Kluyveromyces lactis: one gene and its partner. The protein of the gene in region 2 interacts with the protein of the main gene of each other region in a biochemical or structural test. Links are inferred from orthologs where the notes say so. Each region holds a gene or a part of one and is shown on either strand. Other genes may lie near its edges.

Evidence for each region.
Region 1: of the proteins of PKC1 (region 2) and NEM1, one has a biochemical effect on the other in vitro, tested with the Saccharomyces cerevisiae proteins (2 studies listed by BioGRID). The link is inferred for Kluyveromyces lactis from reciprocal best matches to the Saccharomyces cerevisiae genes PKC1 and NEM1.

What each region holds. Positions count from the first base shown.
Region 1 is NC_006041.1:1,651,481-1,654,516, reverse strand, and holds NEM1 (Nem1-Spo7 phosphatase catalytic subunit NEM1), read right to left. Parts: upstream 1,626-3,036; coding exon 501-1,625; downstream 1-500. Other genes in the region: NAT4 (N-terminal L-serine N(alpha)-acetyltransferase NatD), read left to right, coding at 1,921-2,568. UniProt on the Saccharomyces cerevisiae protein: Catalytic component of the NEM1-SPO7 complex which acts as a phosphatase and dephosphorylates the phosphatidic acid phosphohydrolase PAH1. Essential for the formation of a spherical nucleus and meiotic division.
Region 2 is NC_006041.1:578,248-582,627, forward strand, and holds the start of PKC1 (protein kinase C), read right to left. Parts: upstream 2,908-4,380; coding exon 1-2,907. Other genes in the region: SEA4 (Sea4p), read right to left, coding at 3,688-4,380. UniProt on the Saccharomyces cerevisiae protein: Required for cell growth and for the G2->M transition of the cell division cycle. Mediates a protein kinase cascade; it activates BCK1 which itself activates MKK1/MKK2.

The DNA.
Region 1 (3,036 bases), about 1.1 Mb from region 2:
ATACAATACGCCTATATGCTATTAACGATCCATATCCTAACACAAACCGTAATTCGGTCAACGTATTAACCAAGTAGACACACCTTGTGAAGGTGTACAGCGCCAAGTTAAAGACTGGCGCCTTGTTAGAATCGCATCAAAGTGAGGGAAAGAAAGGAAGAACAGAATGCGGTCGCCGCAGAAGATCCAGTAGCGCGTGGTCGAAAGGAGTGAAGAAAAAAAAAAAAACTATCAAGCGTCACGTGGTACAGTGGAAAATTGGAGAGCAGTGTCGCAGCGCGTATGTATTCCGTATCCGGTCTGATCCGAGGTATGCCACTAGTGGCGTGTCTGGGTGTTCGGGTGCATTCGGAATAATTGGAGTAATTGGAGGAACATAGCCCTTTTCTTTTTCTTTTCTGGATGCCGGTTCAGGGATTACTTTCGGTTCCTAAATCGCTTGTCTACATATTCGCATCTCTACAAATTAGTACTATATTATGGACAGGGTAATAACACTGTTAGTTGGAGATCGATGCTCTACCTGATTTGAGTGCAAGTATACAGCGAGAGTCCGTCACGTGACGCATGGCCTTTAGTAGTGGCAATAGGTGTAGTAGTTCCGAGTCGCTTGGATCGTTGATCCAACCATGTACTTGTATTGCATTGTCCAGATGCATTGCGTAGCTGATAGGACTGTTATCAATGATAATCATTTGAGAGAGGTCACGTGACGTTTCGATTTGGGTTGCCACGGTACCGATGTCCTTCACGTAACCGACGCCAGGCCGAAGTGTGCAATCTTCTCTATACCATCTGTAGTGAAACTGTACCGAACACGTCTGTTGTAGCCAGTCGATTACTGGGTCTGCATACTCTTTCATGGATGCTGTGAAGATGGCAATGTCGTACCATTGGCTCGTCTGTTGGAGAAACATATCGCAATACGGTCTCTTGGCAACGTTATATAACGTGGATATGTTTGTCTGCGGGAATCGTACCTCTACCAGGTGTATCATTGGTGTGGTGCCACTAGGGTTCTTGTCTGTTGGGTTCCCTAACGATCTACTGTTACTCATGGAATGGATCAACGTTTCATCGAGATCGAGTACTAAAAGCTTTCGACTGGTAGAAAGTAGCATTGATTGGGGTACTAATTTCTTGGGGAAATGAAATTTCCCTAAATATTCTGTAATAGGTCTTGGTTTCATCTTATCCTGGTTTATTATGATCTCATCAGTCGGTGATAGATCCTCTTCTACCACGTATTTCGATAGTTTCTCGGTCCTACTGTCAGTTTCTGATCCTACCTGGATCAATCCTTTGTTCCCCTGCGTGTTGGTTTCCATTAAATTCAATGGGAATGTGATAACGTACCAGATCGTTATGATAGGTTTTATTAGCAAATAGTTTGGTAGGAATATTAATATGCACCATATCCATCTCATAAACGGTCTATTCCTTTTATTCGTAGCTGTTGACGTTGTTGTTGTTGATGTTGTTGTTGACGCCGTCGTCGTCTTGTTTTTTACTTTGTTCGGTTGGGTATTCGTGGGGGTCGGATCCACTAATATACCCTCCTTCTCTTTGATCGGCACTTCCTGCGGAGCAGGAAGTGCATTTGACAAAAAAGAGATCGCATTCATTGGAACACAGCTATGTTTTAAAGCCTCTCCTATTGATTGGTCAACGTCCCACTACCAAGGATTGTGACTATGTCTCACTGTTCAGTGTTCTTGACCTTATATTTGCGATTCACTGAATGTATATATTACTTCTTTTTTTTCCCTTCTATTTTCGGTTGGTTAGCTTCAAATATGTAGTGGCATGGAATATGTCAACAAAAACTGTTGAAAAGTTGGAGCTTAATACGCGCTGGTGAAGCATAATAGCAATAGAAAGAGCTTCTGTTTCAATAACCAGCTGTGATGGACTTAAGACATGTCCAATTACCATAGTAGAAACTTGAGACGTGTCGCAGGCGTACTCTGCCAAGAATTGAATAGCACTGGTGATTCGGATGTTGTGTGCGAGGTATTTAGTAATAGAGTACACTCTGGTGATCCAAACTATCTTGGTTCCACACTTCCGAAGTGCCTTGCCATTATAAAACAGAATTTGAGCACGTTCTACGAGCTGCATGGCTCATCGATATACAATTATACTGATGACGATAAAGGAAAGGGAAACGAGAAATGGATTAGGTTCAAATGGGATGAAATGCTGGATAAAGATTTAGTCTACATTGTTTTGTTCAAGAGAGATACCACTAAGATAGTAGGTTTTACATCAGTGGCATTATCCGACCCATTGAATCCAGAATTGGACCACTCCAAATTGAATCGGCCGTGTTTGTTCCTATACGAAATCCATCTGATGGGAGAATACCAGTCACGTGGCTTAGGGTCTCTTATTTTCAATGGATTACTTATCCCACTTGCACGTGACCTGACCTGTCCGTCAATTGAACTATGCGTATTCACTGCCAATGATGTGGCCTGTCGATGGTACAAAAGATTAGGGTTCCAACTTACCGTCGAGTTCTCTGAGCATCTCATTGGAATGAGCAGGGTTATCGGCGCCTCTTAATCTGAGGACCTTACAGCCTACACTGCAATGGTTTGCAGATGTTTTTCCATGCAGAGCACAGATATGTACATAACCACACGGAAAGAGGGTTTAACGCAATAAATAAAAGTACTCTATTCTTTTGAAATGGCTTACATTCCACGAGGATGTTCCTAACGGGCTATTGTATAAGAAATTTGTAGCATGTGCCCTAGAGAAACTGGAACCCTTAAAATGTATGCAGGGTCTTATCTTTTTTTTTTTTTCTATTTTTTTTTTTTTTTTGTGTTCCCTTTCTCTTCTATTGTGCATGAACGATTTAAGCTTTTGAAGGTACATTCTTCTGATGTAACTGTCTAATTACATCAATGGGAAGTTATCATAGCTTCGGTTGTTAAAAAGACGTTCAACAGTGGTGCTTTATCAACCTTAATGGTTTATTTACAGCTCCCAGTGGTGGTCAGCACATAGGGTGCACTGTCACACTTT
Region 2 (4,380 bases):
GGGAGTTAAGAGAATGTTTTCTAGTTTCAAATCACGATATATAACACCATTGTCATGGAAGTACTTTAAGGAAAGTAAAACTTCTGCAGCATAGAACTTCGCTCTTCTGACAGATAGTCTTCGATTTTGGACATGCCACATCAAGTCGCCACCTCCAATGAATTCCATTGCAAAATAAATACGATTTTCTGTTTGGAAGGAGCAGTATAGGTTTGTCAGGAACGGATGCTTAGTTTCCGTAGCAAGCAAAAACACTTTCTTTTCTGCCCTAGCACTTTCAATATCATGGTTCTTGATGATATTATCCTTTTTCAAAACTTTAATCGCACAAAGGTTACTAGTATTTTTGGATCTTGCTAGCAAGACCTTACCAAAGTTACCTTTTCCTAATACTTTTAGTAAAATGAAGTCATCTAGAGACACCTTTCTCCTTTTGGAGGATTTTTTCTTATGCTTTGTACTGCTGGTGTATGATTTTTGTGGTGAAGATGGTGAACTTTTTCCTGTTATGTTGGCAATATCAGCGGCATGCAACTCAGGAGTTTCTGTCGTAGAGAGACTGTATTCGAGGTCCTCATATTGGGCTGGCGGTGAATATTGATCATCTGTGACATCGGCGGTTTCTTCAATTATGTCGTAATCACCCTTTTTGGTGGCAAGCTCAACGTCCCCAGTACTGTATGTTTGTTGTTGCTGCTCTTGTTGTAACATGTTTTGTTCATTGTACCATCTCTCTTCTTCTTCCTTTCTCAATCTCTCTCTAAGCTCATAGTGAGATTGCTCTGAATCGTCTAATTCCTCTTCATATCCATAATCTTGTACGTATCCGCTGTCTTGCTTATTAGGGTGCTTATTTTCATAATTTCCTTCATATTCTTGCGCAAAATGCTCTTGCGCATGAGCCTGCGGAAGATTACTTATATGAGCAGCATCGAATTGAATCTTTTTCATTGAATCAGGAGACAAACCGGGGTCCAAGCTATGTTGGTAATTCCCGTGATCTGGCGAGCTGGTTTCCACATTGCTGGTGAATGAGTCATAATGGCTATCATGTTGCGTTATAAAGTTATTCAAACGATCCGTCACTAGGTCTTTTCTTGCTTCTGAAGGCGTAGTTGGCTTGATAACGGATGTATGCATATCATCATGATCAAAAGAGGTCTCAAACCTGTTATTTAGCCCATCAAAGCCTTTAGAAATTGGTTTGGGTTTATTATTCACTTTGATGCCACTGAATCCTCTCTGCTGCTGAGTACGCTTAGTATCCTGAATAGTTAGCAAAACTTTGTTGGCCATTTCCATCGACATACCACAGAAATCTGGAACTAAATGAGCACATTGAGCATGGCACATAACCCCACATTCAGTACATTTTCTGACGTTCTTTCTACCCCATGGTAAAATATACCCACAATGGCAACACCACTTCGTACCCCGATTTGAAACAGGTTCAAACCTATGAGGGATACGGTGGTTAAGTTTCGTCTCGTCAGGATCTGAGTCGGTACTTGTTTTAGCAATACATTTTGTAACCACATGCGCGTAGCACTTCTTATGGCATAAGAACTTGCAATCCTGGCATTGATAGCCACTATACCGTAAAAATTCACCGCAATATGCACAGCACATGACATTGTAGAACGATTTTTGGACAAAATGGTGCCCATGTTGCTCAAAGATATCCTCTTTACGGTTGACAATAGCACCATGACGATGTAATCCACCCATGAAGGTCTTTCTTTGTGTAGTGTTTGACTTATTGAAACCAAGTGTCAATAATATTTGCCCGGCAGGTTCCAAGATGAACCATGTATTTGTGGTTAAACTCTGCGTGTGGGTGTCGTTTGCTTCTCTATCCTCCGTGGGGATTCCAGCATCGGGTAATTGCGGTAAATCCTTTGTAATTACAGCTGTATTATTCGCAGGTTGAGAAGGTGGAAGTCTAGAGGCCTGCATCCATTCAGCGTGGCTTTTTCCTTGCTTTTGCTGTTGACCGACTTTTTTTTTCCGAATTTCTTCAGCGATGTCGGCAAGTAATAACCACATGACAGCTACTGGTACAATTCTGTCATTAACCTTATCATATATTGTAACTTCTACCTCGTTACCTTTGTCTATGACTATGTTAAAATCTTCGTGCCACCTATCATTTCTCGATGGTTTTGTCTTCGCTTTTACCACATCATCGACTTTGATAGTAATAAATGTCTCTGGCTTTCTCGAGAATAGAGGGGATTGGATATGATCAACATCTCTAATTGCAGTAACACCGATAGTCAGAGTACCTGATAGTTGTTTTCTCCTAAACTTTGGTTGAGTTGCTTCTTCTGTGTGATCATTGAAAGGATCGATATCAACGTTGATGGCCTGATATTTTTTCAATGATTTTGTTAAGAGCTGAATCCTGTGTTTAGATTCAACAGATCCACCTTGTGCAGCACTGCTACTCCGCTGGTCTCCATCAATTTGGTAGAGTTTAGTTAACTTATCATTAGCCTCTTGATATTGCTTTTCAACTTGCAATTTGAACTCCAACTGCTGGAGCATGTATTGAATTCTTTGCGACAAAGATGGACAATCGTACTTTACCAGATCTAGTCTAGAGTATCTAAACTCATCTGGTGATATTGTAGATAGCTGACCAAAACCGGGATGATTGCTAGCATTCTGGCTGGTAGGAGTATTGTCTGGCTGTTGACTGACTCTCAACTTAGCTAGAATTTGTTCCAAGTACTCTATATTTTGTTGAGCCTCTCTAATATTGGTGTTGCATTTCTGTATGACCATGACATTATCAGTCTTTTTCTTCAATTGATTCGAACCCAGTATAATGTTTCTTTCCCTTTCGATCTTTTTGTAGATGTCCTGTTCAACAGGGAATGCAGTGTGTTTACGATCTTCATCCATAGTTTCATACAATAGTAATATCTTTTTATGCTCAGTTCAGAGTGTTCATACGTTAGATGGCTAGTTGGTGCCTTATAAGTTCATGAAATAGAATCAACGCACCACTTTGACAGGATCTGATCTGAAACAATTTCAAGCTGTGTTCGCCCAGAATACCAATATTTTAAGATCCCAAACCACTGAGAAAAAAATGTTTGTAAGAGAAATATTCAACGAAAAAAAAAGTCCCAACTAAACTGACTTAATAAACCGTTGTTTATAGTCGTTCTTTCCTTTAGTTTTTGGTATCCTTAAAGATATTGTTGAGATCAAAAAAAACCATATATTTGTTTGTATCTGGATAGATCAAACTTTTTATTTTCTTAGTTTCGCCACATGATTTCCTGAAATAGAGCTCACGCATTTCAACTGATCGGGGAATCTTAACTAGTCACGTGAAGAGGCTTGCGCTCATGCGAATGACGGTGGGCAATGATGGAAAAGATGGCTTTAAGTTCCATCGCTGAACCACGGTCCATCCTATAACTCGATGAATATGCTCGGGGAAGTTTTCCAAGTATGGTACTGCGTTGCTAGTATCATTATTTTGTGGATGCGTAATGATTCATTCTGAAAGCAACGTTCAGCCGCTTGATATCTGCATATGAGATATTTGTATGTACTAATAGTGGGAGAAATGAGTTTTTGGCGAGGTTAAGGATTAAAGAGATTATATACGCTGAATAACAAGTTTAATGATTTATCCTAGAGCGTTTAGGTCCGAAATATTGGTAGAGTGTTTCATTGATGGCATAAACACGAACACCCAGGAACAGGACAAATTGAATGTCTTTCAAACCATTCCTCTGCATGACCGGCATGCATACCATGATTACACTTGAGACAGAAACTGAACCATTCGTTCATTTTCAAACGCTTTCTTTCCTTGACCTCGTTAATTTTCGCGTCGTCATCGATTCGTACTTCACATGAGTTGGTGGTGCCATTGATGACTATGGGGAGATTTGAAGTACCCAATGGCAAGAGACAAATAGCACATCTTGGGAAAGGCGTGCCACAATGTGGACATGAATGTTTCTGTTGGGGGACATCACCGTTTGTATTATTGAGGCCGAATTTCTTTCCTGCATTTAAGTTTTGATTAGCATGTCTTGGTAGGGATGCATTAGAAGACACATCAATGGGTCTGTTGATATTCTTCTTACATTTGGAACATTGTAAATACATTTGACGAGGTTTTAACTTCGCTGTAATTCGACCATCACTAGTCCTAGATAATTTTGTCTTGAGCACATCGAACTTGGCCCTCATAGTGAAAAATTCCCAGGAATTTAACATATGGCGATATGTTTCAACCCATTCATCAACTCTTGGGTCCATGAAGTATCTTGGGGAGCCGAAAACTGAAATTAGTGCAGCAGTTTGAATATCACTAGTCTTTCCAACGTACGATTGTAGAAGATCAATACCATT